Linked DNA regions of Canis lupus familiaris. The protein of the gene in region 1 interacts with the protein of each later gene in a biochemical or structural test. Links are inferred from orthologs where the notes say so. Each region holds a gene or a part of one and is shown in the gene's direction. Other genes may lie near its edges.

Evidence for each region.
Region 2: the proteins of DOK1 (region 1) and SRC form a complex in vitro, tested with the Homo sapiens proteins (2 studies listed by BioGRID, with this or other methods). The link is inferred for Canis lupus familiaris from reciprocal best matches to the Homo sapiens genes DOK1 and SRC.
Region 3: the proteins of DOK1 (region 1) and ABL1 form a complex in vitro, tested with the Homo sapiens proteins (5 studies listed by BioGRID, with this or other methods). The link is inferred for Canis lupus familiaris from reciprocal best matches to the Homo sapiens genes DOK1 and ABL1.
Region 4: of the proteins of DOK1 (region 1) and TEC, one has a biochemical effect on the other in vitro, tested with the Homo sapiens proteins (2 studies listed by BioGRID, with this or other methods). The link is inferred for Canis lupus familiaris from reciprocal best matches to the Homo sapiens genes DOK1 and TEC.
Region 5: the proteins of DOK1 (region 1) and RASA1 form a complex in vitro, tested with the Homo sapiens proteins (2 studies listed by BioGRID, with this or other methods). The link is inferred for Canis lupus familiaris from reciprocal best matches to the Homo sapiens genes DOK1 and RASA1.

Annotation. Positions count from the first base shown.
Region 1 is NC_049238.1:49,088,195-49,094,559, reverse strand, and holds DOK1 (docking protein 1), read left to right. Parts: upstream 1-2,022; 5' UTR 2,023-2,123; coding exon 2,124-2,183; intron 2,184-2,425; exon of another isoform or gene 2,426-2,520; coding exon 2,521-2,820; intron 2,821-2,967; coding exon 2,968-3,061; intron 3,062-3,267; coding exon 3,268-3,452; intron 3,453-3,724; coding exon 3,725-4,537; 3' UTR 4,538-4,981; downstream 4,982-6,365. Other genes in the region: M1AP (meiosis 1 arrest protein), read right to left, coding at 6,013-6,192. UniProt on the Homo sapiens protein: DOK proteins are enzymatically inert adaptor or scaffolding proteins. They provide a docking platform for the assembly of multimolecular signaling complexes. DOK1 appears to be a negative regulator of the insulin signaling pathway.
Region 2 is NC_049245.1:26,564,902-26,570,596, forward strand, and holds part of SRC (proto-oncogene tyrosine-protein kinase Src), read left to right. Parts: intron 1-2,266; 5' UTR 2,267-2,427; intron 2,428-3,310; 5' UTR 3,311-3,318; coding exon 3,319-3,568; intron 3,569-5,215; coding exon 5,216-5,315; intron 5,316-5,695. UniProt on the Homo sapiens protein: Non-receptor protein tyrosine kinase which is activated following engagement of many different classes of cellular receptors including immune response receptors, integrins and other adhesion receptors, receptor protein tyrosine kinases, G protein-coupled receptors as well as cytokine receptors.
Region 3 is NC_049230.1:53,209,466-53,215,160, reverse strand, and holds the end of ABL1 (tyrosine-protein kinase ABL1), read left to right. Parts: intron 1-1,368; coding exon 1,369-3,086; 3' UTR 3,087-5,063; downstream 5,064-5,695. UniProt on the Homo sapiens protein: Non-receptor tyrosine-protein kinase that plays a role in many key processes linked to cell growth and survival such as cytoskeleton remodeling in response to extracellular stimuli, cell motility and adhesion, receptor endocytosis, autophagy, DNA damage response and apoptosis.
Region 4 is NC_049234.1:44,669,847-44,675,479, reverse strand, and holds the end of TEC (tyrosine-protein kinase Tec), read left to right. Parts: intron 1-2,156; coding exon 2,157-2,275; intron 2,276-2,356; coding exon 2,357-2,514; intron 2,515-3,689; coding exon 3,690-3,773; downstream 3,774-5,633.
Region 5 is NC_049224.1:21,205,275-21,210,969, reverse strand, and holds part of RASA1 (ras GTPase-activating protein 1), read left to right. Parts: intron 1-1,657; coding exon 1,658-1,725; intron 1,726-3,242; coding exon 3,243-3,331; intron 3,332-4,785; coding exon 4,786-4,863; intron 4,864-5,695. UniProt on the Homo sapiens protein: Inhibitory regulator of the Ras-cyclic AMP pathway. Stimulates the GTPase of normal but not oncogenic Ras p21; this stimulation may be further increased in the presence of NCK1.

The DNA of each region.
Region 1 (6,365 bases):
TAAGAGCAGAAACACAGAGTCCGAGAGCTCAGACTGGAAAGCAGGGCAGGGAGGAGAGAGGCACAGACACAGAGACAGAGCAGCTCTCCCTCACCAGCAGTTGTTCGGTCTTACAAGGCCCTTCCCCATCACCTCCATTTACCCCACCCACTAGTCTAAGGGACCCAGAAATCAAGACAGTGATTAGAGACCAAGAGGCAGAGAATGGTTGAGAGAAAGAGATAAAGACTGGGCAAGAGGGAGACCCAGACAGGATGTGAGAGGAAAGGAAACTACTGTGGGAACGAAAGAGGACTGAACAGAGAGAGATGGCAGAGAGCGACAGTGTGGAAGATGGACAGAAGGTGACCGTGAGATGGCCAGCGGCACACAGCAATGGTCAGACTCGGGCAACAGGTGAGGAGAGGGACTGGCTGGAGCCAAGGAGGGGTTGTGGGAGGGACCCAGACGACCCCATTCAGCCAGTCAGACAGAGGGCAGATAGCTACTGGTTGTGGAGAGAAGCAGGCGAGGGGGCTTAGGAGACCCTCAGATCTTCGGTTCCCTGATGGGAAGTCAAGCTCAGAGTCCTGTGTGGGTAGATTCCACCGCAGAGGGCAGAGACCAGGATGCGTGGAGAACCCCCTGCACACCCTATCAGCACATAGGCTCTCACATACCCTGCAGGGTCAAGGGGCCCAGGAGGGCCAGGCCTCAGGCTGGGAGGGAGAGCGGGGTGGGGTTGTCCAGACCTCCTGCCAACAGTGCTGTCTCAGGGCAACCGGAGGCCAGGGTGCCAATGAGCTCCTCAGCCAAGGCCTTCCCTCTGTCTGGGGCTGAGAACAGCCCCTCTCCAGCAAGGGGCCCCTGGAACATGCTTTCCCCAACTCAAACAAACAACACAACAGGACAGCTTTGTTCTGGGGACATTCTGGCTTGGGGGCCCAGGGGTAGGTCCTCACAGAGGAGCCTCTAGCCTTAGGGCCCTGGCAGCAGCCCTATTTGGAACACCCTGCAGCCCCCCACCCGCCAAATATCTGCCTCCTCTCTCCACTCTACTGTGTCTCACGCTAACAATGCTAAAAGCCCTCTGTTGGTTGGTTTCCCTTCGACCCCATCCTGCATCACCCCTTTTCCGTGGTCCCTTCACCATCCTCGCCATCCGAAACTCCCCTTTCTGCCGCAGCAGCGTGACTCGCCCTACCTTTGGCTGAGCGGGGCCCTAGGTGCTGGGAGAAGAGTCCAGGTCCTGGAGATCAGTCCTAGGACTTCCCAAAAAAAGTGCTCGGCCAGGGGAGACTGGACCCCCCCTTCCTCCCCCCTCTCCTTTTGTCCCTCCCACGTCTCCTTGAGCCCTCCCACATTCCGCCTTCCTCCTCGATTCCTCCCCGGCCAGTTCCCTCCTCTTCTCCTTTTGGTCCTCCCCTCCCCCGTGGAGCTGGCCGCGGCCGCCCCACCTCCCCCCGCCCCCGCCCCCGCCCCTCCTCCCGGCCTGCTCAATGAAGCTTTCTTTTCCCGCGGGCTGGAGGCCGCGCGGCTGCGGTCACGGAGCTGGACACGCAAGAGGCCACGGGGCCGCGGACCGGCCCGGGCGGCGGCCCCTGGGGCGGCGGGAGGCCGCGGCTCAGCTCGGGGCTCCGGGAAGCCTTCCAGTCCCCAGTCCCCAGCCCTTCCCCCACGTCCCGGGCTCCGCGGAGTGTAAACAGCCGGACTCCAGCCGGGCTGGGGGCGGATCCGGTCAGGCGAACTGAGGCGAAGAAGGCCCGCCTCAGCCCTTCGGTGCCCCAGGGTGCCCACTGGCATTTTCGGGGTGACGTCACGGCCTTCACTCTGATGTCACGTTGAGCATATGACATCCTACCCGGCCCGTAAGCCCGGGCGCCAGAGCCCCGTGGCCGAAGCCTCGAGGCTTCCCTTGGCGGAGCACTTGTGCGGGCCTCGGGCCGGTGGGCCGGGGTCTGAAGGTGGCGCGCGGCCCACCCCGTCTACGGACCCCCGCGCCTTCCCTCAGGCTGCTCTGCTCGCTCCCGCTCGGCGGCCCGCGGAGGCCGGGGGAGGGGCGGAACGCCCCGGGAGGCCCGGCCCCGCCCCGCCCCGCCTCTAGCCCGCGGGGCCAGGAAGCGCGGAAGGAACCGCCGGGGGCCATGGACGGGGCCGTGATGGAAGGGCCGCTGTTTTTGCAAAGTCAGCGTTTCGGTACCAAGGTAGCCCGGGGCAGGGGTCGCCGCGCGCCTGCAGACCTAGGAGGGGGCTGTGGAGCCCGCGGGGGCGGCAGCGGGTTGGAGCGCGGGGCGGGAGCTGTAGACCCCGTGACGTTCCCGCGGAGTTGATTTCCCACCCGGGAGAAGCGTCCGCTGGCCTCGGGGTACCCCCCCACCCCCCGGTTCTGGGCGGACGGAGCGGCTTCCTTCTCGGGAAACTGCGCCCCGGTGGGGAAGCTGCAGACCTGCAGTCGGCCTGCGCGGGTCTCCTGTCCCGTCGGGGCCGGGCCGCCGGTGCTCGCCCGCTCCCTCGCCAGCGTCTCTCGCTCTCTCTTCCCAGAGGTGGAGGAAGACCTGGGCTGTGCTCTATCCTGCCAGTCCCCACGGCGTGGCGCGCCTCGAGTTTTTTGACCACAAGGGGTCGAACAATGGAGGGGGCCGAGGGGGCTCGCGCCGCCTGGACTGCAAGGTGATCCGCCTGGCGGAGTGTGTGAGCGTGGTCCCTGTGGCCGTGGACAGCCCCCCCGAGCCTGGCGCCGCGGCTTTCCGCCTGGACACCGCGCAGCGCTCCCACCTGCTGGCGGCCGACGCGCCGTCCAGCGCCGCCTGGGTGCAGACCCTGTGCCGAAACGCCTTTCCGGTGAGGGGGCTGGGGCGAAACGCCGTGGACCCAAGAGGCGACGGGGGTGGGGGCGGTTACAGGAGCCGAGGGCCGCGGCTGGCTCGGACCCCGGGAACAGCGGTGAGGGAATTGCAGGGATCTCGATACTCCCTCTCTTTACCCCAGAAAGGCAGCTGGGCTCTGGCGCCTGCGGAAAACCCACCCAAGCTTTCTGCCCTGGAGATGCTGGAGAACTCGCTGTATAGTCCCACCTGGGAAGGTAGATGCCTGAGAAGCCTGCGGAGGGATGGGGTGGAAAGGACGGGTGCCTTGAGAAGAGAGTGGTTAAAGGGTCAGGGACCCATGGGGAATAGGAAGCCCCTGAAGCTGGTTTCCAAGTGAGTGCTTGGACAACCCGTCCCCACCTCCCCAGCCCTCTCACCCAGCAGTCTGTTGGGTGCCCATCTAATTGTGTATTCTTTACAGGATCCCAGTTCTGGGTAACAGTGCAGAGGACAGAAGCCGCTGAGCGCTGTGGCCTGCATGGCTCCTATGTGCTGAGAGTGGAGGCTGAGAAGCTGACTCTCCTGACCGTCGGGGCGCAGACTCAGATACTGGAGCCACTCCTTTTCTGGCCTTACACTCTGTTGCGCCGCTATGGCCGGGACAAGGTGCAGGGGGCTGTCGGGGAGAATGGGCATCCCAGGTCGGGATAACTGTGGGATGGGTGGGTGGGGTGGGGCAGGACAAGAAGATGGCGAGTTCTGTCCTCCCGGTAACCCTTCCTTGCCTAGCCTGTGACCTCTGCCTGTGCGCCCCCCCCCCCCCCCCCCCCCCCCGCAAATAGTTTTTTCTTTGTAGATCCTCTGTAACTAGGACAAGCCCTGTGACTCATCTCCTCTCCTGGCTCCTGGTAATGTGTTTTCCTCCACACCTTCTTCAGGTCATGTTCTCTTTTGAGGCTGGTCGCCGCTGCCCTTCAGGCCCTGGAACCTTTACCTTCCAGACAGCACAGGGGAATGACATCTTTCAGGCAGTTGAGACTGCTATTCATCGGCAGAAGGTCCAGGGAAAGGAAGGTCAAGGGCAGGAGAGTCTGAAAGCCGACTCCCACGAAGGAGAAGTGGCAGAGGGGACGCTGGCATCCCCGCCTGGCCCTCAGGAGCTCCTGGGCAGCCCTCCTGCCCTGTATGCTGAACCCTTAGACTCTCTGCGCATTCCTCCAGGCCCTTCCCAGGATTCCCTGTACTCAGACCCCTTGGACAGTACTGCTGCTCAGGCAGGGGAGGGAGTACAGTTGAAGAAACCTCTTTATTGGGACTTGTACCAGCACGTGCAGCAGCAGTTGCTGAAGGCCAAGCTGACGGACCCCAAAGAGGACCCCATCTATGATGAACCTGAGGGCTTGGCCCCAGCTGCTCTCCGGGGCCTTTATGATCTGCCTCAGGAGCCCAAGGATGCATGGTGGTGCCAGGCTCGGGTGAAGGAGGAGGGTTATGAGCTCCCCTACAACCCTGCCACTGATGACTACGAGGTGCCACCTCCTCGGAGCACAAAGCCTCTCCCAGGTCCTAAGCCCCGGGGCTTAGCCCTCTCTGAACCTGGAGCTGCAATGGGCAATGGCAGCAAGGGCCACAGCGCAGACACTGCCTTGTACAGCCAGGTCCAGAAGAGCAGTGCCTCAGGAAGCTGGGACTGTGAGCTGTCTAGAGCAGGGGCTAACAGGACTGGAGTCCAGGCAGAAGGCTCCACGTGAGAGGTAGGGTGAGGCGGGGGTTGCTGATAGGACCCCCACAGGGAGGTGGTACTGGGGATCAAAGAAACGTATTAGAGCCTGCAGGAACCAGAGGGCTGGAGGGTCCCCTGTAAGCCAGCCCAGGGGACCAGAGGGATCAGGGGAGTCAGGGGAAGGATGATCAATCTCAAGAAGTCCTGGAAGTGGGACAGATGGCAGAGGTGAAGGATGGGGCCTGAGAGAGACCAGCACCCCCAAGTCATCCTCCCCAAAGGAATGGACAGCTGCTGGACCAGGTCTATGACAATGGGGGCTTTGTCTGGGTTGGTACAGTTTGAGGGGGCTGAATGGAGGCTACAGGGTGATGCTGGACTGTGCCTGGATCGTCACCCCTGTTTTGTTCTTTGCCAGAGACAGATTTTAAGAAGTTTATTCTCATTAAAGTCAGCTTGGGTTTAAAAGGTCTATGTGTGTGAATAGTCACAGATGGGACATGGTGGCAGGGTGTGCTGGGTTGGTGTGGAGGGGTCAGGAGAATGTACTGGGGGCCACATAAAGAGGAAGGAGTCTCAGGGAGGTGAGCTGAGCAGTGTGATTGTTGAGAGCCTCGGTGGTCCAGTGAGGCCCACTTGGGCTTGAGACTGTCTCTGTGATGCTGGGCGAGCTCTAAAACATCTGCAACTCTCATTTGCCCTCGGTGCCCCTCTGTAAAATAGGAAAAACCCAACAACAGACTCTACTTCACAGGGCTATTTGTATGAAAGGAGTTAAGTTTCTCAAGTACTTAATGCAGTCTGAAGCACAAGATTAAGCATTTTATACATGGTAGTTATTCCATGGATGGAGAGGGCCAACAGAAAGGTAGACAGGCATGGACAGAGGGGAACAGGAAGGCAATAGGTCTTTTTCTCAGCTATATGATACCACTTGCCCCAGCACACACACACTTTACCTGTAGGTACTAAGCATCAACCATCTTTCTGTTTGAGGGTTGAAGGGAACTGCTATGTGGTGGGTATACTGGGAGGAGCACAGGCTTTGGAGGCTTAGATTTTGGTCATACTTATTTTTCATGAGCTCTGAAAATCTGATCCTTGTCTCCTGAGGTCTGGTTTTCCCAAGGTGACCTAACCTCATCTACCTGCTTACAGGGAACTACAAGGAGAAATTTGGGGTTAGGAATGCTCCTAACAATGGTAGAGACTTACTGGGTATTTAATCTTCATCTGTGTTAGTGGTATCAAATGATCCAAAAGAAAATGAAAATGAGCTCCTGCCTGGAAAAGGAAAAAGTTCAGGTGTGTCTCTTCCAGGCCTGAGCAGTGGGGCAGTAGTGGCACAGAAGACAGGAGGGGAAGGCTCTGTTTCCCAGTCACCTGGAGGTCACAGAGGCTCAAGTGGACAGAAGGCCAGTCTGACCACAAAAAAACTATTCGTTGTGTGAGCCTTAGTATGGATATGGTTGAGCAGGGCAGCGGGGCTCTGGTGCTGGGGACCTAGAGCCCGGAGAGGTACTCCTCCTCCTTCTCCTCTGCCACTCCCTCCTTGGAAGGCCAGAAGAAGGCTTCTGAGGAAGGCTTGCTGGCTGCTGGCATCTTGGGGGCTCTGCTGGGAGTTGGGATCATAGGCAAGGGGGCTACTGTGACTCGAACTCGGCTTGTCTGCAACTGCCCGGCCTGCAGAGAAAGTGAGCAGACTTCTCTGAAGCTCAGACACAGTTCCTGGTCTCCTGTCCTGTTCCCTGTGGGCCTCCTGGCCTAACTCCTTCACATGTCCCATCCCTTGAGTGACAGCCTCAAGGCCCAGGGCAGTGGATTTCCTGGACTCTCCTGGCTGAGTGTCAGCTTGC
Region 2 (5,695 bases), on another chromosome or scaffold:
CCTGGGAGTGTTTGAATATCCAGAATGATACTTGGTCTCCACAGCATGGCGTTGGGGGAACAAAGCAGGATGCAATTCATATCTGTGCTCATTTAGTCTCTTGTCTATTCTGCAGATATTTCCAGAGCAATAAGTAGTAGTAGGTGCCAGGCCTGTCCTGGCCACTGGGGTGGTGGAGATGGATATGATCCAGTCCTGCCTGCAGGGGGCTTGGTCAAAGGCACTAGATGATCAGTGCCGGTCTCCCCGACTGACAGAGGAGGAAACTGAGGCAGAGTCCCATGATGGGGTGGTAGGGCTGGGGTTCAAACACTCTAGTACTCTAGCTCTTCACCTCCACACCCCTGCCTTTCCACAAACACGTGTTACGTACGTAATTGGTTTTAACCGCAAAGACCAACAAAACAAACAGAACAGAAACTCCTCCAACCAACAAACATTGCAACAGGAGACCAGACCACCTTGGCTGGGTCTTGAAGGCTCTCTTGTGCTTTTGCTGAGTGCCCTGCTGGGGAGTCTGGGTCAGTGTAAGAGTTTGGGAGCAAGAGCTGTCTTTTTTTCCCTCACCCCCACCAAAAAGGGCACATGCATTTTCTAGGAGCTGGGACGGTGCTCAAGATCCAGGCCTGACTCTCCCTCTTTTCTCTATAGCACACCACCCAATGACTCTTTCTCCTGTCCTTGATTATTACCTCCAGTGACAGGGAGCTCCCTCTGCATCATTTAGTTCAATCTAAAGAAAATTCAGCATGCCTGGGTGGCTCAGTCAGTTAACCATCTACCTTTGGCTCAGGTCATGATTCTGAGGTCCTGGGATTGAGTCCCACGTTGGGCTTTTGCTCAGTGGGGAGTCTGCTTCTCCCTCTCCCTCTGCCTGACCCCCAACTTGTGCTGTCTCTCTCAAATAAATAAATAAATAATATCTTTCTTTTTTTTTTTTTAAAGATTTTATTTATTTATTCATGAGAGACACAGAGAGAGGCAGAGACATAGGCAGAAGGGGAAGATGCGGGACTTGATTCCAGGACCCTGGGATCACGACCTGAGCCAAAGACAGACACTCAACCACAGAGCCACCCAGGTGCTCCATAAATAAAATCTTAAAAAGGAAAATAAAGAAAGTTCAGGCCCTTAGAAAGTTCTCCATTTAAAAATTTTTTTTAAATCATCCTTAAAAAATATTTTTTATAGTTTTAGTTTCCTCCGAAAGTCCCACAAATGAGTGTCCTGCTAAAGCATGTGTCCCCTGACACGAGGCCCGGGCAATTCGTCCCTGTGTCCTTCCATGGACTAGCGTAGCTTCTGCTGCACAGTCAGTGCTGTGAATGCTGTACCAGGGAGCCATTGCGTAGCAGGTGCAGCCTGGAGCCGCGGGGAACTGGGTCAGTAGGACCCACGGGACACCAACAATATGAGTGCTGATATGACCCCGGTGGATTGGGTTGCCATGGAACTTGGTCTTCTTTGTCTCCAGGCTTGTTGGCCTGTCCCTCAGGAGGCCCTGGTGATCCCTTGGGCTGTTGAGCAGGTCTCCTCAGGGCCTCCCCAGCCCATTCTCTGAGCTGGATGGTCCCCAGGGAGCATGCAGGCCACGCCCACATTGTGCAGTCCGTCAGCCTGAGGGGTTCAGGGGTGCAGGAACTGGCTAAAGTTCCTGCAGGAGGAGAGCTTGCAGAGCTGGGCTTGGGGCTCAGGGCCGGTAGTCTTGCCTAAGGCCTCAACCAGTCAAGAACACTTTTCCCCATCCATGGGTTCCCAGAGGAAGTTCTGGACTGATTCCAGGGCCTGCAGCATTCCCTGGAGAATATCCCAAACCTACCTTGCCGGTATATCCAGAATCACACAGTATCAGTCATAGCGGATGTGGTGGGATGACCTGCCTCATTCCCAGCAAGAACATACTTGCCTCGTTCACTTACCATGGACCCTGATGACCCCATCATTTCCAGATGAAGAAATAGGGCACAGAGAGGTTAGGTCATTACCCTGAGGTGATATGGCCGATGAGGGTAAAGGTGGGATCTGAGTTCGGGGAGTTTGGCTCCAGAGCCCACTCTTAACCGCTGCGTCATACCCTGCCTTGCTCATGCTCATAAAATGCTTTGGGAAGGTTGATGGAAGGGAAGGTCTGGGAAGCTCTTAGCATTGGAACTGTCAGAGTCAGAGCCTGGTAAACTGGGACCCAAGACTCAGGGCCATGGTGATTTCTCTTTCTAATCATATCCATACAACAGCCTGAGAGGTCTGCCTTCTCCCTGTTTTGCAGATGAAGACGTTGAGGCCCAAAGAGGGGAAGTCAGTTGCTTAGGGTCACATAGCAGGGAGACGTGGAGCAGGGCCTCTAGTTCAAGACCCCTGACCTGGTGTTCGTGCTGAGACCTCAGGCTGCTTCCCAGACCTTCTGGGACAGCCCCTGCCTTCCCCCAGGTGAGGTGATGGCCCATCAGGGCTGCCAAGATGGGGGGCATAGGGAGGGGTGGCCGTGATGGGTGGGAAGACCCTGGCCACATTTGTTGGAAGCTGGGACCAACCAGGATCTGTGGAGTGGGAGGTAGGAGGCAAAAGGGGGTGGCGGGGCTATGGGCATCACTGGAGAGTTTTCAGTTTGTTTTTTTTTTTTTTTCTGGGCCACGTGTTATCAAGAGAGGTACAAAAGTAAGGGGGTACTTAAACCAGAAAGGATTTGGGGAACACCTCCCCATGAGGTGACTTTTGAGTTGAGAACTGAAGGAGGCATGAGTTATTCTGGTGAAGTGGTCAGGGAAGAGCATTCAGGCAGAGGGAACAGCATGTGCAAAGGCCCTGTGGCTGGGTGAGCTCCCAGACATCTCTCCTTCCAGCTTCCTCTGTATCCCTGTCTTGGCTGCAACTATTAGCACCTTTCACTCTGGTGTGAGACCATCTCAGTCAGTCATGTAATTGCTCAGCAAGCCCTCAGTGAGCCCTCTCCTATGTGTTGTATGCCTGGGATATGGCCATGACTCAGATACTGTCCCTGCCCATGACCGACAGAAACTGACTCAGGGGGAAGTGAGGGAGGTTAGGGCTTCTGATTATGAGTCATTGCTTCTGTGCCTGGCTTTGTCCCAAGGAAGCCATTTATGGGTCCCATTATTATCCCCATTTTACAGGTTAAAAAACTGAGGCTCTGAAAGTCTAACTTATCCAAAAGAGGCTGGTGCCCTTCTTTGGGCCTCGGTGTCCTCGTCTGTAGAATGGTGGGTGGGGGTGGAGGCTGTCTAAAGGGCCCGGGCCCAGCAGCCCTGCCTGCTCCCAGAGTCCTTCACCCAGTGTGCTTTCTCATCTCCAGCCAGGACCATGGGCAGCAACAAGAGCAAGCCCAAGGATGCCAGCCAACGGCGCCGCAGCCTAGAGCCAGCTGAGAACACCCACGGTGGCGGCGGGGGTGCCTTCCCCACCTCACAGACACCCAGCAAGCCAGCCTCCGCTGATGGCCACCGAGGCCCCAGTACAGCCTTCCCTTCCGCAGCTGCTGAGCCCAAGCTGTTTGGGGGCTTCAACTCCTCGGACACGGTCACCTCCCCGCAGCGGGCGGGGCCGCTGGCTGGTCAGTGGGCTTTGGGAGCGTGGGTGCCTGCGGGCCGGGCCTCTCTCGCAGCAGGGCTGTGGGTGTCTTGGGCTTGGGGACTGTTGGGGGTTTCCTGGAGACTGTGGGTGGGGAAGAGCTTTATAAACTGGACAGTGTGGTGCAAATCCCACTGCCTTTGAGAGCAAATCCAAAGTGGACAGTAACAGGGTCTAGAGATATGGGCCTGCAGAGGGGAACCGAGGTGCAGGGGGCCCCGGGGGCTGTTGGCTCAGGGCAGCATGAGGACTGGGTTTGAGGCGTTGCTTTTTGCTCTGGGCAGCCCAGCGATGGGTCAGGTCGGGAGGCCTTGGGTGGCAGAGGGGGCAAGGGAGGGCAGGAGGCAGCTCTCTGGTTCTCAGGGGCCTGGCCCAGCGCCGCGATGCGCCCCTGCGCCCTCTGCTGGCGCTTCGCGGTATGGCAGTCCCAGGCCGGGGATGCTCACGGAAAGATGCCAACGTGGTCTCAGAGACACACAGCTGGAAGACACTCACACAAACACGTGCATTCTTCCCTCGACACACTCAGGGCCACACACACAGCAGCTCCTAAGATACCTATGCAGACCCTTGAACGAGATGAGCTGGAGACACCATCAAAGATGAGATACTCATAGATACACTGTGGACATAGAGACCCACTTAGGGACACATGGACGGGCACAGACATGCAACCAGGCAGATGTACGCAAACACAGACACACACGCACAGATAACCTCGTACTCCCAGATGAAGACACACACACAGGCAGTCAGAAGCCCCTCAAAGACACACACAGGGTACGGACAGGTTCAGCTAGGAGCACCATCACGGATACCCACAGGTTCACAGATGTACATACACACAGTGAGAACACACAGACGCACGGACACACAGGGACACTCACGGATGCCTTAGATACAGACACATACCCGAGTGAGACACAGACCCACAAACACACCCATTCATTTGTGATGCCCGTACTGTGAGCCAGGACTCTTCTGGTGCTGGGGACACAGCAGTATGCAGAGCATGGGGGAGAAAAACAGAGCAAGGCTCGTAAAATGTGTAGGCTGCTCGAAGGCGGTGCTGCCGTTGAAGGAGCAAAAAGGGCAGGGGGGGTCTTGGGGGGTATGGGGTGAAGGTTGTGGTTAAAATGGGGGACAGAGGGATCTCTTTGAGGGCACAGTACCTGGAACTGAGCTCTCCCCCAATACACCCAGTCACACAGACACAGAAACAGAACAGCCCAACCGGGTGCAGTTTCCTTCATTCACTGGCTCATTCACCCCCAGTCGCTTCTCGAGCACCTACTGTGTGCTAAGAAGCCTGTTGCTGGGGGCTTCTGGGTCTGTGTGGAGGATGGGCACTAAACAGAAGCCAGAAGTCAGGATCACCCAGAGCCCAGTGGGCACGCTCAGATGTGAAGAGACGCACACGCCTCCTACACACCCTCACAGGGGTACCCAGACACATGCACACAGGTGGACACACTCACTGCTGGGCCAGCCCCTGTAAAGGTGGCCACGGCTCTGGGCTGGGCTGTGCGGCTGTGGGAGACCAGCCTCTATTCTGCCCAGGGCCCTCCTGTCCACCCCTCTTTTGAGCGATGACCCTGGCCATTCTGACACTTCCCACCTCTCTCTGCAGGTGGAGTGACCACCTTTGTGGCCCTCTATGACTATGAGTCTCGGACAGAGACCGATCTGTCCTTCAAGAAAGGGGAGCGGCTCCAGATTGTCAACAACACGTGAGTGACCGACCCCCTGTCCCTCATCCCTTGGGACCCTATCCCCCTGACCTGGTCTTGGGCCAGAGCCACTTCTGAGCATCCCAGAGCTGGGGGCAGCATGATGGGCAGCAGGCATGGCTAGTGTCAAGGCTCGCCAAGGTCCAGGGAACTGTCCTGAGCCTATGAGAGATGAGATAGGTGGTGGTGGTCAGGGATCCTGGAGGGCTCCCAGGGCAGGGATCTGGGTTCAGTAACTACTCAGTAGGGCACATCATCCCAGACCCCACAGAGGGGCATATGGTCAGGGCAGGACTGGGTCTAGGACCCAGGACTACAGAAAACAGGGCCTAAAGCAGGATGCTGTGCCCCTAGACGTGCCCTCCTTAGGGACCTGGGGT
Region 3 (5,695 bases), on another chromosome or scaffold:
AAGTAAATCCAAATTATAGGGCTTCCTTTTATAGCCCCCTGGATCGTCTTGCTCACTCACTTTGTGGAGTCCATGGCATATAGTCTCCAGAAGCTCAGACCTTTGTCCTTCTGTTCGTTGTCATGATTTCAGGTAGTTGAGCAGTGGGGATGGGGAGAGGCCCCTGTGGGAACCTCAGGCTGATTAAAAGCCCAGTGATAAGCAATCATGTTCATTTATGCCCGTCAGTATTCATTTTGATACGTAATCTCATGGTGAGCCCAGAGTGTCAATTAGCTGTTCAGCGCTGAAATAGAGCCGTGCATAATTCATTAGAATTTCGCGTTCTTCAACTTTTTCTCCTGGATTAAAGTTTTGGAGGTCCTCAGCTTCCCCTGAGTCAGGTGGCCTGCATGCTGTCTGATGTTCTGATAGATGCCCCATTGTACCTCTGCTCCGGGTGTAGACATGCCCTAGGCTGCTCTGGGTGCTGATAGAAAACTACTCTCCTCACAGCTGCCCTCTGAGGGAGAAGTCTATCATTCACTAAGCCGGGAGCTTGGCAACACCAGAAAGATTTCTTAGGAGCTATTATTCATACATAAAGAATGCCCATTTAAAAATTTGTAAAGGTCACTCTTTCTTGTTTGCCAAGCATAATAGCCTATTGTCACTGTGGTGCACAACCCCTTCCCTTTGGACCTTACCTCCTAGGAATCTCAATTGGCAGGCCCGAAAGGCACAGGGCCTGACCCTTTGCTCAGCCCTGTGGTGGTTTTTACACTCCAGATAGTGGTATTGGAGGGCTCTGTGCTGTCAAGGAAGCCTCAGTACAGGGATGAGGGGCTGGGTTGCCCAGGCTTTCTGTGCTGCTGTCCTGTACCTTTCCTAGAAGTATTTTTTTTTTTAATTTTTTATTTATTTATGATAGTCACACAGAGAGAGAGAGAGAGGCAGAGACACAGGCAGAGGGAGAAGCAGGCTCCATGCACCAGGAGCCCGACGTGGGATTCGATCCCAGGTCTCCAGGATCGCGCCCTGGGCCAAAGGCAGGCGCCAAACCGCTGCGCCACCCAGGGATCCCCCTTTCCTAGAAGTATTAACAGTCCGTGAGAAATTATGTACTGATAGCTGGGACAAACGCTGTATGCTCACTGCATGACGTTCACACAATGCTATGGGTAGGTGGTGGTCTCCGGTTCATAGATGAGAGAGCTGAGGACACTCACAGGCCACAGTTGGGAGTGGCAGAGCTGGTGCTTACAGGTAGGCCTGCCAGAGCCCTGACCCTGGGCTGCTCCTCTGTAGAGGACAGGGGCCAGCCCCAGGTTCCCCCCACAAAGGAGCCTTTGGTCTGGAGATGTTAAAAGTCTTCCCATTGTGTTTCAGATCCCCTGGATCACGAGCCTCCTGTGTCTCCACTGCTCCCTCGAAAAGAACGGGGTCCCCAAGACAGCAGCCTAAATGAAGATGAGCGCCTTCTCCCCAAAGACAAAAAGACCAACTTGTTCAGTGCCTTGATCAAAAAGAAGAAGAAAACGGCCCCAACACCCCCAAAACGCAGCAGCTCCTTCCGGGAGATGGACGGCCAGCCCGAGCGCAAGGCAGCCGTTGAGGAGGAGGGCCGAGAAACCAGCAATGGGGTGCCAGCCCTCACCACCCTGGACGCAGCCGAGCCAGCCAAGTCCCCAAAGCCCAGCAGCGGGGCGGGTGTCCCGAATGGAGCCTTCCGGGAGTCGGGGGGACCAGGCTTCCGGTCTCCCCACCTGTGGAAAAAGTCCAGTACACTGACCAGTAGCCGCCTGACCGCCAATGAGGAGGAGAGTGGCGGCAGCTCCAGCAAGCGCTTCCTGAGGTCCTGCTCGGCCTCATGTGTGCCCCACGGGGCCAAGGACACAGAGTGGAGGTCTGTCACGCTGCCTCGGGATCTGCAGTCCACAGGGAGGCAGTTCGACTCGTCCACATTTGGAGGGCACAAGAGCGAGAAGCCAGCTCTGCCTCGGAAACGGGCGAGTGAGAATAGGTCTGACCAGGTGACCAGAGGCACAGTGACCCCCCCACCCCGGCTGGTGAAAAAGACTGAGGACGCAGCAGATGAGGTCTTTCGAGACATGGGGGAGTCCAGTCCAGGCTCCAGCCCTCCCAGTCTGACTCCAAAACTCCTCCGCAAGCAGGTGTCGGGGGCTCCTTCCTCCAGCCTTCCCCACAAAGACGAGGCCGGGAAGTCCAGTGCCTTGGGGACCCCTACCACAGCTGAGCTGGGGACCCCTGCCAGCAGAGGAGGGCCAGGGATGTCCGGAGGGGCCAGCAAGGCCCCCGCAGAGGAGCCCAGAGCCAGGAGGCACAAGCCCTCCTCCGAGTCCCCAGGGAGAGACAAGGGGAAACTGTCCAAGCTCAAACCTGTCCCACCGCCCCCACTACCAGCTTCCATTGGGAAAGCCGGGAAGCCTTCTCAGAGCCTGAGCCAGGAAGCAGCTGGGGAGGCCAGCACTGGTGGGAAAGCCAAAGCCGCAGCAGTGGTTGTGGATGCTGTGAACAGTGACACCGTCAAGCCCGGTCTGCTGGGAGAAGGCGTCAAAAAGCCCGTGCTCCCATCCATGCCAAAGCCGCAGTCGTCCGGCAAGCCGGCGGGGACCCCAGCCAGCCCGGCTTCCGCCCCTTCCACGCTGTCATCCGCATCCTCTGCCCTGGCTGTGGACCAGCCAGCCTCCACTGCCTTCATCCCTCTCATATCAACCCGTGTGTCTCTTCGGAAAACCCGCCAGCCTCCTGAGCGGATCGCCAGTGGCACCATCACCAAGGGTGTGGTCCTGGATGGCACGGAGGCTCTGTGCCTCGCCATCTCTAAGAACTCCGAGCAGATGGCCAGCCACAGCGCTGTACTTGAAGCCGGCAAGAATCTCTACACATTCTGTGTGAGCTACGTGGATTCTATCCAGCAAATGAGGAACAAATTCGCCTTCCGTGAGGCCATCAACAAACTGGAGAATAATCTCCGGGAACTTCAGATCTGCCCGGCGACAGCAGGGAGTGGCCCGGCGGCCACTCAGGACTTCAGCAAACTCCTCAGCTCCGTGAAGGAGATCAGTGACATCGTGCAGAGGTAGCAGAAGCCAGGCATCAGGCCAGCTGGAGCCGCCTACAGTGTGTGAGGCTGCCCCATGCCTGCCACAGTGGCTGACACAGACCAGAGAGTTGGGACGTTGGCCGGGGAGCTCCATGTGAAAGGAGCTGAGAGGGTCACTGTGGAGCACAGCCCTACTACCTAACATTTTGCGCCAGCTGTTTTTCTGCACTTTTCCTGTCCCCAGCCCAGGCTCCCTGAACCACCTCTGTCCTGAGTTCTATCTGTGGGGTTCCTGCTCTGTGGACTCCAGTTGGCCCGCCAGCCTCTTCCCCATGCCGTGCTCCAGAACTGAGCTCTTCAGGCCAGGTGGGAAAGCGGATGAGCATTTCCTTTTCTCTCTTGTTTCCAGAGGCCTTCTTCTGGCCATGCCATCTCCTCCACTTCCCCCCAAGAGCGAGTGCCCTGCACAGGAGCCTTGTCATCAAGGCCTAGGAACTATCCCTTCCACTTACCGCATGGAGGCAGCCTGCACTCCTCTTCTGGTGCCTCCTGCACTGAAGACATGTTTCCAGAACTATATCCTGGGAAATGCTGTCACTCTGCCTTCCATTGCTGCCGGGGGCTGGTGCCCTCACACTTCCTCATATGAAGGACAGCTCTTGATTTGGGGGTTAAAACAGGGTGCTAAAACCAACCAGCCTTTGGGTCCTAGGACAGGTGGGGGAGCTGAAGAGGCCTTTGGGGTGGGAGGTTGTCCTTGTTATCTGTTCTTTCAGCTCCTTGCTGTCTTGTGACATGCACTGCTCATCCTGGATAGAAAGCTTGAGTCTTAAGGGTAGGAGGGGTTGCAGTCAAAGAACAGGGGAGTTGGAGGGGGGGTGCTCCCTGGGTGAACAGCTGGTGGCCTAGGGCTGGGCCTAGGGCAGGTCTGCCACGGGCCCAGGTCACCTTCCTTTCAGATTTCCAGGTACTCAGAAAAGCCACTTGGTCTTGATTTCTGACCGACCTCCTCCTCCTCCCTTGCACTCCTCTGAGACAGAGTAGATTGATGCAAAACTCTTTCCTGTGTGACAAGCCAGTCCTTAGTTTTCTGGAGTTCTTGAAGCATTTCATGGCTCCGCCCTCAGCCCAGCCACCCTCGGTACAGTAGGACCTGCCATCTGCCACCAGAGCACGGGAGGATGAGGACTGTGGATCCAAAGCCTCAGCCACTGTTGGCCGTGCACTAAGGGGCAGACGTCCTATTAAATGACCGTGAGCAGCATGGAGTCCCCTGTTTCTGTTGGGGTTATCAGGGATGAAGAAGACCATAATCAAGTGAAGCTCCAGAAAGTGTCTCAAAGAGCAGGCATTGGTCTCTCCCCAGGCGGCCCCGGACCATCTTGACCTTGACCTAGAGCAGCTACTGAAGAGCAGACAGGCACCTTCCTGGGCCTCATGCCAAGCCTGGGAGCAGCCCTTGGAGAAACCAAGACAACCACCTTCCACCCCCACACCTTCTCATGCCATGACCGCACACAGGCCCCGTTTTTAATGCTCCTTGCCTAAACTTGTATTTTGTTTCTCTGGTAGAGATGGTTTCCTCTGGATCAATTTACGCTGTCCTCACAGTGCATCACCTCTTCCCCCCCCGCCCCCCCGCCCCCCCAGGCTGCTTCTGTTAGGCAGACTGAGGGAGGTGCTCAAACATCACCAGCGGCCTTGCAGACAAAGTAAAACAGACCCCACCCAGGTTCCCACCAACTGCCCTTCTATGAGGTACTGGTTTCTCTCTGTTCACATGATGTGCCACTATATTTTGCATTTATATCTTGGTATTACACTCTTTTGTAGACTTGCTCTTTTATAAATGACATGTAAATAGTTTTCCACTATTCTCCCTTCTCAACTATGGGGCCTTTTTTTTTTTTTTTTTTTTTTTTTTTTGGTCCAGTACATTTTTTTTTCTGTATATGACTCTGTTTTTTGAATCCACATCTCTCCGTAGTATTTTTTAAATAAATGTTTACAACATTAAGAACTCGGGCAGATTGCTTTGGTCTATAATTTTACCCTGTTGTTCAGAGCCGTGGCATTCATTTGGGGAGGTGAGGGTCCTTGTTTCCCCGAAGGGGGACCAGTAGCCCCATGGTGGGTTTTACAGGATGGAACAGTGGCAAAATTATAGCATAAAACCAACATCCCACCTCTTCCTTGGTCTTCCAGAAGGGGTGTCCCTGGTCTGGCCTTGGGTCCTTCTTGTGCCCTTGACACTGATTTGCCAGCAGCCCTGGGAGTGAGTGGGCTTTGCCACCGCAGGGCCCACGCCTGGTGTTGGGAAGGAAGAGGAGTCCAGGGGCTGTGCTACCTGTCAGGCTATCACAGCATCAATGAAATGGGGAGGAAGGATGGCCTGGATGCCACTGGCTGGAAGCACTAGTCTGTGCACAGGTGTGCTCTTTCCCTACACCTGGGAACCCATCCTGGCACCCTCTGCCCCGGTGCCCGAAGTGCCCCTCTCTCACTGTGGTCCACACGCCCTGTGCCTTGTCTCTCTATGTACGTGAGGAGGGGCAGGGTGATGGAAATGCCACCCTGTGGACTGTGGCCTCTCCCAGCCCCCTACCAAGGGGACCGAGGGAGGTGTGTGCGGCTGTTTCCCCATCTGGG
Region 4 (5,633 bases), on another chromosome or scaffold:
GAGATACATAAATTTGTTTAAAAAAAAAAGGCGTATATACATTGCGATGTTAGTAATTTTCTCCACTAGGTGGTAGCAGAGCCTGGTAAATATACTACTTTCATTTCTCCCTGACCTGAGTTGGGTTCCTAGTCTTTTTTCACAGAAATGTGTTAAGAGGTAAACGTCCTTAGAATCCCCAAGTCTGTTGTGTTTTCATTCTCTTAATTTTTGTCATTTTTTAAAAGAGTGTTAGAAGAGACCTTTAGAAAGTATTGTTTGTCCTTTCCCTCCTCTCTATTCACTCATCCCTACATCCCTCTGTAAGAACATCAGGTGCCTACCATGTACCCAGGTGTTAGGCTGACCCATAGCAGAGAATAAGGCATATGAGCCCCTGCCCCTATGCAGCTCATATTCAGGAGGAGAAAGAGAGACAGAAGATCTGAGAGATGGCCAAGAGAGGAAAAACACAGTGATGTGCCGGTGCGGGGTCAGTGTACCAAGGCCTCTGGCCCAGGTTGTGACCCAACACCTTTTTTTTTGTTGTTGTCAGCTTGTGAGCGAACAGTGGTTTGCCAATTTTTAAATGGTCAGCAACAATGAAAAGAATTTTTGGATACATTGAAAATCATATGACATTCAGGTGTCAGTGTCCATAAATAAGATGTTATTGGGACCCAGCCCCGCTCGTTGGGTATTGTCTGTGGCTGCTTTCACACGACAAAGGCAGAGTTGGATAGCGGTGACAGAGACTGTATGGCCCGAGAAATAGGGAATATTCATCATCTGGCCCTTTACAGAAAAAATGCTCTCACCCCTAAGGTAGGGGGCACATGGGGCTGGGGGGGTGCAGTGCTGAGCAATGGTGCAGGGTGGGGTAGTGGCAGCTGCTTCAGATCTGGAGCTCTGGGAGGCCCTTCGAGACTGGGATGCTTGAAGAGAGACCGAAAAGACAGAAGTAGCCAGTTAGGTGGAGATCTGAGGATAAACTCTTCCAGGTGGAGGAAACAGCGAGTATAAAAGCTTAAAATCTGGGGCCCGCGTGGCCTACTCAAGGAGCTGAGAGAGGGCCAGGGCTGCTGGTCCAGGGCCAGGCACGTCGGCCCCAGGACACACAGGCCACGTTTAGCTCCTGACAGTCCTCTAGTTTCACGTTTGATTTTTTTTTTTTTTTTTATGTGTTTGGCTTTCAGAAAATGTGTGCTTTTGCACCAGACCCTCTAAAACACTCGTTAGACATTAAATTCAGAACCGCCCCCCACCCCGACAGACAGGCAAGTTAAGCCAACTCGTGGCAGCTTGGTTACCATGCAGCAAAGGAAGTTTGTGCCATTATTTGAATGTTTTCTCACGGAGGTTTTAGAAATTAGCTTTACACATTCCAATCCTACGTAAACGCATTCCTCTTGTGAATACATACTGAGCACATCACAGGAAGGGCTGAGTTCTCCGTATCTCCCACCTGCTCACGGGTCTTGCCCAGAGGTAGCTGAAGTTTGCAGGTGGCGTGTGTCCTTCCAGAAAGATGTAAGTGTGCTTGCATAGCAAAGATCACAGAGTATTGTTTTGAAAGTGTATGTGAGAGTGTGAGTGTGTGAGTGTGCGTGCGTGTGTGGGAGGGATGTCATGGTATATAAATATATACGCCACCATTGACATATGTCATTTTGCAATTTGCTTTTTTCATTTGCAGTAGGTGTAAATTGTACTCTGTGGAATCGTGGGGGCCCAAAGCACGTGTGTCTCCAAACGCCCTGCACCACTTCCTTTAGAGCAGCTCCGCTTTAGATGTTTTACATGTGGGGCCTTTGGGTTAAATTCTGTTTAAAGAACAAAATTGCTTAACCCCTCCCCCCCAAAAAAAACAAAAAACTTTGCTAACTCTTTAAATGTGTTCTGCCCCTATCGCCTTATAAAAAAGAAAAACGCACAGAAAAATGAAAGTGTAGATTCTGATGTTACAGGGCACCCATCTCAAGACATAAGTGAGGTTGAGAGGAAGATGGAAATCACCAGGCGTGGCCACTGAGGCAAACATTTAGCTTCAACCGGATGCTTCTTGGACTTCAGTCAACTGTGTTTTTGATTCTAAGAGGAACAAAAAAATGTAAAGAACGTGTACAACATGTAATTCGTAACTCAGAGGCGTAAGCCTATGGTTTGTCTTACTTTAGGTATGTCCTGGATGATCAATACACAAGTTCTTCTGGTGCAAAATTTCCAGTGAAGTGGTGTCCACCCGAGGTGTTTAATTACAGCCGCTTTAGTAGCAAATCGGACGTCTGGTCATTTGGTAAGAACACGGTTCATTTTTCCTCAGCTCTCCTCGGATGAGACAGTGGATGCATCCTTTGTAATCCTTATCCTTTCCTAGGTGTTTTAATGTGGGAAATATTCACTGAAGGCAAGATGCCCTTTGAGAAAAACACCAACTATGAAGTGGTAACCATGGTTACCCGGGGCCACCGACTCTACAGGCCGAAGCTGGCGTCCAAATATGTATACGAGGTGATGCTGAGATGTTGGCAGGAGGTAGAAAAATTTTTGTGCTTTCTTTCTGAATCTCTAAAACATTTAGGGATCTGGGCTTGGTGGATTAAGAGTGTATAGTCTTTGCAGCCTGGTGAGTTAGTACGTGGTGTATATGGTTTCAAACTCTAGGTCGAAAGCCAATCCTCTCAAGTCAGTTCTGAATAACGAGAAGAAGGTGGTGAAGAAGTGGAAAACGATAATAATTAAGATCATAAATTCAGTCAACTGTGGACATTCAGTCAACAATTCCCCACGCCCAAGTGGAAATCCTGTCACAGTTGCCCGAGTTAGGGACTCAGGGAATAAGTCCGGAGAAGTAGCTCTTCTTTCACCGGACTGCTTGGATTTTTGAAGTATAAAACTCTTCAACCAGAGAGGGTTTCTTTCACCAAACGTCGACTTCCCCCAGGTCTCTTTCCTCACAGCCTTTGGAAGTTTTCCTTCCTGGTGTTTTGAAACGTCACCTCATAGATGAGACACCAAAATGATTTTGGAAAGATTATATAATATCAGCTCACATGTATTGTGTGCTAGGCACTGTACTACGTGCTTTAGATTTCATTCTCAGAAGAACCTTTTGAGGTGCAGAGATTTTTACTGTGACCACTTTGTGGATGAGAAGACCAGGGCTTCTGAAGCTGACCCTTGCCCAAGGCCACTTTGCTATAGAGAAGCAGAGCCCATGCTCTTGAACTCTTGCTATAATGTCTCCAAAGAACACTGATTGGGATGGAGAGACCTGAGCAGGAAGTGTTGCTGGGGGTGGGAGAGGACGGTGGGAGCAAAGGTCAGATGGTGGTAGTGAGTGCAGGGTGTGTACAGATTGGTCTGAGTGAGCAGAGAGCCCACATGAGGGTTCTCGTGGGAAATGAAATTGGGCAGCAAGAGGGTGCAGGAGGGACAAGTTATAGGGGGCGCTGCAGGTCAGCAGGTCTTGGTGTTGCAGGCAGTAAGGAGCTCTGTCAGACCTTGAACGGAGACCCACAAGCAGCGTATAGAAAGGTTCGTCTCGCCACTCGCCACAGTATGTGCGGGGTAGAGTAGACCCATTTGGAGACACCTGAGTGCTCTAGACCCGAAGCAATGTGTGCTATGTGACGTGAGTTTGAGCAGTGAGAAATTATTTGGGGGATGAATTCTGGAACCCACAGCTTCTCTTTGATTTTTAATTGTAGAAACCAGAGGGAAGGCCTTCCTTTGAAGATTTGCTGCGCACGATAGATGAACTAGTCGAGTGCGAAGAAACTTTTGGACGATGAGTGGTGTTGTGATCCGTGGCGTCCAGCTTCCGAAGCATGAGGAAGAGATGGCCCTTTGTGGCTAACTTTTAATTTATTTAGTACTTGGACATGTAGATGGTTTTACTTACAAAGTGGAAACACCTAAAGCATTTGCTTCTAGCCCAAATGGGAGCTCTGGGACTGAATCCTTCCAACTATGGAAATGCTGCCTAGGGAGGGTGATTAAGAACACTCGCTTTTATCCATCCCACAAGTACTTGAGTGCCCACCGTGTGCTAGGTACTATGCCCGGGCCCCACGCTTTGCCCATTTTAGGGGTGTATGGAGGGCCACGTTAGCTGGTACACCGGTACACTGGAAGGTCAGGCTATTTGGGAAGGAAAAGGGAATTAGAATCTTATTCCACCAGCCTTTCTCTTTCCTTCGACTTCTACAGAAATCTGGGCCTGAGGCATTGTCTAGAATGTGGGTTCTGGGTGAATCAGGAACCCACCTTGGATAAGAACTCATCCTTTGTTTTGAAAACATCTGTTTTCAAGACTGCCATGAGTATTACGTTAAAAAATATTTGTATGCTGTATATATTGTAAATATATATAATATATAAAGATATATATTTATAAGAAACATGAGTTGTCTTTTAATTAAAAATTCTAATTCTGTAACATAAGAGTTTACCTTTTTAGGATTAGGGGCTGTGCCTTGCAGCTGTCAATTTCTCTTCCCCCAGGGATCGAATATGCCTTACTGAAGAGAAAGAAGTCTGGACCCTTCTACACTAGTGCCTCCTCCCCACTTAGGCAGACACGTTTGGGGGTGTCCCCAACCAGCCCCATGTTTGGGCTGAGTGACCCTGCCCCTAGTATACATAACTAATTGGAGTTAGGTAAAAAATTGAATGAAGGGCAATCAGTGACTTACTTTTTTTTTTTTTAATTTAAATATTTTATTTATTTACTCATGAGAGACACAGAGAGAAGCAGAGACACAGGCAGAGGGAGAAGCAGGCTCCCTGTGGGGAGCCCGATGCGGGACTTGATCCCAGGACCCCGGGATCATGACCTGAGCCAAAGGTAGACACTCAACCGTTGACCCCCCAAGCATCCCAACCAGTAGTGACTTTCTACATCTTAAGAATCTGCCCCAGGACATAGATGCCATCAGTGGAGGTGCTGGGCTCTGGGGCAGCATGATGAGGTGATGTTCCCAACAAAGCCGCCTCCACTGCCAGCAAGACCCAGGAGCAAGCTCCCATTGTGGCAGAGAGGAAAATGGAGAGCATGGCTTATTGAGCTGTCTCCTGGACGGCTTTAGGGAGATCTGGATGGACTTAGGTTCCTGGATCCGTGAGATGGCCTATTAGAGACTCATGGTAGACCCTGTGGTCAAGTTTGAGTGGGTTTCTTACCCTTACGGTCACTGACGAAGACACCAGCTGAGCTGGAACCTTCATTTCTCCCCCTGAGCCCAGGAGAAAGAAACAGCCTCTGCCGTCAGTAGCCAAGGCCGTGCACGGCCCCACACATTTTTCTTGGTATTTGGGGGGTAGGAAGCCGAGGTGCACACAACATGCAGGGCCTTTCTTCTGGAGTTTGAACTGTTCTGGAGACTGCCGTGGTGTCCCCTGTAGCACAGCTGTTGTGTGAACGTAGAGCTGTTGCTGGCTGCTCTGAGCAGCGTCTCCCTGCGACCCTGGAGACCCATCTCTTCCCCTCCTGGCCTGCCCATCCACCGAGAACTATCGTCTACCCTTCCTTAACCTCCCTATAATGGAAAAAAAAAATTATCTTAGGGCTTTTTACAGTCTGTTTGCCACCTTCCTCCTCACCTTCCTGTGTAGCTGTACCCCCATCGCAAAAACATACGCACCTTTTAACT
Region 5 (5,695 bases), on another chromosome or scaffold:
GAATTGCTTTGGGCAAGTCACAGGATGTTGTACCTCCTGTACGGCAGCGGGACACACTTTGATATCACTATTTTAACTTTTTCTGATGAGGAAGCAGATCTGTAGAAGTTAAAATTGTTTGCTTAACTTTATATAGAAAGGGGTCGTACTAAGGCAGAACTAAAGGCCAGCCTTCTAAGATCCAGTCAGATCTCTGACACCATTGTAGGCTTTTGATAGGTACACCCGGCCCACTGAAGACCACTGGAAATCAGTGTCAAAGCATCAGAGAATATAGGGGTCTACTAATAATAGATTCAGTAGAATACATCCTGCTGTCATGTTATATCCCATTAAAAAAAAACAAAAAAACAAAAACTAGACAACCACTGAAGACACCAATAGCATACATTTAGTTTTGAAAAAAAAAGTGTTAATCCTGCCCTCAACCAAAGTTTTGTAAAGAGGCTTCTACTTTCGTAGAGAATATTTCTCTTGGTTAGTAATGATATGACATAAGAACGAATGACAGATTCTCTATTTTTTCACTAGTGGCATAAGTTTCAGCACAGTTTTGTGTGTGATGTAAATTAAAGCCTCTGTAAACTGTTTCAAACAAATATAATTGTTAAGCAAACACAGCAGGAATTTCTGCTGTGTGAATCGTCTGACACGATAGGGTTTTTAAGGGGTATTGATGCCCAAGGTGATGATTTCTGTCCCTACTAACAAGCCTTTAAATATATATGTATGTATCTAGTATTCCTTTTAAATTTAAAATCACCTTTACAAATTCACAGAAAATAGATTTGTATACTGAAATTCTTTCATGATTAAATTATAGGTTATGGTTCAAATTCAAACAAGTATCAAAATGTTTTCAAGCAAATTTGTGCAAGATTCTTCATAAATTAGTTTAAAAAAATATTTAAAGAGCTGATAATTGTGTATTATAATTGCAATAAATGGTATCTGAGAAGTAACAATCATTTTCTAAGAGTCCAAAAAGTAGTAAGCTGTCATTAGGTTGGAAAGTAAATGTCATAAAGTTGACTTATCCTCTCTGTAATGGAGAAGGTGAAAAGTGAGGTCTTTTTAATAAAAGCTTTATATTTATAGCATTCTATTGTATACATTTCCATTTATCAAGAAGTCACTTTTCTCTACTAGAATGGATTCTTATTTTTAGGATTCACCAGCAAAATCAGTTATAATCAACTTGATTTATACAGATTTTATTTGGCTATTCTATTTAAATAAGGAAAGAAAGAAGTGAGAGAATGAGAGTTTTAGCACCATATAGGCCTGTCTCTATAAAAAGGATTAATTCATACTCCTATAGTATTTCAGAAAATCTTAGTGTTCCTAAAGCTACTGCTTCCTCAGAGTAAGTATACTGGAATAAATAAGGAGTTGTCAAGACAGTAAATGTTACAGATGTAACTTACATCTTCCCAAAATAAACTGAAAATTCCAAATTTGGGAAAAGTAAATAGTGTAAGAAGCAGAGATACACATACCTTAAGTAAGATACTTAAGCTATTTTCTTAAAACTTTGTTTGGGCTTTTTACATCAGTTCAAAGCTCATGGTTCTACAAGTATTAAAATTTTTGTTTATTATTTTTATGTAACATATATAGTAGTTTTCTAAAAAGAAAAAATTTCCCTCCCATTCAGTGGTTTTGTTTTTCTTCGACTTATCTGTCCTGCCATCCTGAATCCACGGATGTTTAATATCATCTCAGGTAATCAGCTTTTGATAAAATTTTGGAATTAAAAAAATTAGAATAAAATTTCATATTATTTGGTAAGGTTATTCATTTTTTCTTTTTCATCTGATTTTTTATTATTCTCCAGTTCTAAGACTTGATATAAAACATTCCAACGCATCCTTATCTCCTTCTTTCCTTTTGCTACTTTACCTTCTGCATTTTGCTGCTTTTCTTTCCATCTAGTATCTGAAACCTGAGGTGGCTTGATTAGACACGTATCACTTTTTCCCCATTCCCACCTGTGTCTCCAACTCTCATTATGATGATTTTTTTCCACTCTGCAACTTGGCTTTTTCAATTGGGAAGAGGATTCTGTGTTCTCTTAGCCCATGCCAGACCCTGTCACTACCATTGCAAGCTGTATTTTAAAGTCAAAAAGATAACTACAGTTGCAGTAGTACTCTGTGAATACTTGACAGTGGCCCTTGAGAGATACAGAAGTTTGTGACCAGTTAGATAATGTTAAACTCCAACAAACCAGATTTAGTTTGCTTACTGCCCATATGTCCATTATACAAGGACTTTCAGATGCCATAAGTTTCTTTCAAAGAAAGGTGAACAGTGTTATTTGTGACTACAAATGTAATAATGAGCCATTAAAAACAGAAGGAACCGGAACCATTTTTCTTTTAGTAATTAGAAGCTCAAAGTTGTGTTCAAAAATACTTTGGACTGCATCTTAAGTTTTACCTTATTATAGTCATCACATCTCTTGTCATTATCTTCTATTGCTATTAAAATGGTTAAAACCATGGTTCTATTAAGAATTACGGGTTTAGCATTCTGTTGGAGAGATTAGTTTATCTGAATGTTGGCCTCCAAACCACTAGGCAATACTCATTTACAGTTCAGCTTAAGATTAATCTAAAATCAGGCAGTCAGATAGACCTACCTATACATTTTTAGTTACATAATTCTGTTATGTTTCAGGGCTTATATGTTAATCACTACAGATGGATTTCATTTACACCATACTATGTATATTCTCTAGGGAAATGTTTCCGGACTAATCTTTACGGTTGATACTATTTTTTTTCTCTTCAATATATAGCAGAAGTCCCAGATTTTATCTTTGTTATTGAGCTCTAAAGTGATTTTGTAGTCATTTGGAGGTTGGTAATAGGGAATTGCTCAGATTGCAAATTGCTAACCTGAAGGGGTTGGAATTAGCTGTGAATTATCATGAAGCAGGTGTGTGGAGTGACAGTGTTTTTAGCAATAAAGATAAAGCTTTAAGGGAAATATCAACCAGCTGAGAATTGCTGAGTCTTGTAGCAGCAACTTTTCACAAACTAGAAGTATTAATAAATGTATTTAACTCCCCCCCCTTTAATTCAGGTTTTCTTGTGAATTACACAGGTCATGTCATTTCCAAGAATGTCAGTATTTTTAGCAGGAAAAAAATGTTTAAGTGTTAAACTTTATACTGCTTTCCCTGAAAATGCCTTTGGAGTCTGTGTCATTACCTGTGCCCAATTTTTCTTTTATAGATTCCCCATCTCCTATTGCTGCAAGAACACTGATATTAGTGGCTAAATCTGTGCAGAACTTAGCAAATCTTGTGGAATTTGGAGCTAAGGTAAAAACATTTTGATAAATCACAAATGAAACCTTGAGATGATAAAACCATAGAATATAAAGTTTTCAGTAGTGTCTCTTGCATAAAGACTATTACATTTTTGTTGGTATGTATGTCTTTTTAAAAATGTTACTATATTTTAGTAATGTATATTTTAAATGTATATTTTAATGAAATTTTAAAAACCACTGTTTTAGCAAGTATACAGAAAATTACATTTTCTATTTCCAATATATTCATATTTTCCTACTCTTAAATATAAAAGTAAGCATATTTTTAAATGTACCTATTATTTATTTTCACCATAAACATTTACTGTAAATAACTCAGATGAGGTCTTAAAACATTTATATGTGATCCTACATAAGGATAAGGATTGTTAATAATCTAGTAGTGGTTGTACCATGTGGCCTGATTTTGTCAGTATTTAACAAACTTCTTGCCATACCCGGAAACATAACAATCATTACATCATCATATAGCTGTTAAGTAGTCTTTTACTTAACATTTAGATGGCTTCCAACTTGTCACTGTTACAAGTATCCATATAGATTTCCTTTCAAAGTTTTCCAGTTATTTCCTTAAACTTAGTTTGGAGGAAAATTCCTAAGTAAGATTTTTTGCTTTCCAGAGCCTTGCCAAAATTCAGTATTGTTTATTTTTTGCCAACCTGATGGAATAATGTTACTTTGATTTTTCACGTCTGTTTCATTGGAATTGACTGATGAGGTCTTTATCATCTTCTGTGTATTGACTTTAAAAGAGCTTCTGTTAATACTAAACATTTTCTGTTTTACATCATAGCACATTTTTAAATAAGCTTAATATGTTGTTAGTATGAAGAGCAGTTTATTGTATGGCTTAGCTTCTGAATTTATCTGAATAGTGAGAAAGGTTCTATTACCTATTCCTGTTGCAGTCTTTAGCACACTGTATTTTAATTATATTCTCTGCTAGATTCTAAGCTCTGGGTTGGGCCCATGTTGATCTTGGCAGTTGGCAAATAATAGTTTCTCAATAATTATTTTTGAATGAATTACAGTTGACCTCTGACACACAGGTTCAAACTGCACGGGTCCACTTATTCATGGTTTTAATGTATTTTATTTTAGTATTTTCTTTTCTCTACCTTACTGTATTGTAATAATACACAATAGAATATATGTAACATACAAAATATGTGTCAATTAACTTTAGGTTATCAGTCACGTTTTGGGGGGTCAAGTTATTTATGGATTTTTGATCACTTGGGGTGGTGCTCTGGGTTTTATTTTTATCCAGAATTTCTTACTCTTTCACTAAAATACTCTAGTTCCTTGGTATAGCTTTTATTAGAAGGAAAAGTTAATTCTTGTGAACATGTACTGCTGTTGATGTACATAATCAGATACATAAGAATTCTTGCTACACATTTGGTTTTGATGCATACAGTAAGCTTTTTGTTCTATTTTTAGGAGCCCTATATGGAGGGTGTCAATCCATTTATCAAAAGTAACAAACATCGTATGATCATGTTTTTAGATGAACTTGGGGTATGTATATAATTTTTAAAGTACTTTGAGACCTATAGTTAACATAGTGAGAGTTAACTCATTTAAGCTTCTGACTCTTGATCTCAGGCTAGGAGTTCAGGCCCCACATTGGGCTCCACTTAAAAAAAAAAAAAAGCAAAAAGCTGCCTATTTTTGTCTACTTTCATAAGCAAATTATTGATTATAACCACTTATTTTTACACCAAATGGTTTATATCAAGTACTTACTATGGTAGCTTTTGTGCTTCTTGTGTTATTTTTTAGTATGTCTTGTTTTTCCATTATCCCTTTAGCTGGTTCATCTCTTTACTGCAGTACTTAGCTGTACTTGAAACAAGATAGATGACCCAGATCTGACCAGGTTAAATAAGTAAATGGACTGTAGAGTGAATGTTCTTGGGGCTTCACTAGGAATAAAACACATGGATTTAATACTATACTTCATTCAGTGGGACTACCAAAAAATCACTATTTATAAATTAATAGAAATGGTTATATATTAAAAAATTCCCTAAGACCCTGTATTTCTTAGTAAAGCTTAATTTTATTGTTATAGACCTACAGATACTGGGTCAGTTAAAAACTAAAGTATATTAGTAATTCAGTTCATTAAAAAACAAATAGGTTTATCAAAAAGATTCCCAGGTTAGCCAGGTGTTACGGCATTAGGGAATGCTAGGGTAGGAGACTGAGGTGCCCATGTTCGGCCTTAATGTATTCAGATCCAGTTAAAAATACAACCACACCAGTATGCTGTGCAGCTAACCAGTACTGCCTGAGTGTCCCTCATTTGCTACCTCAGGGATAAAACCAGTGTGAAAGAAGTTACTTG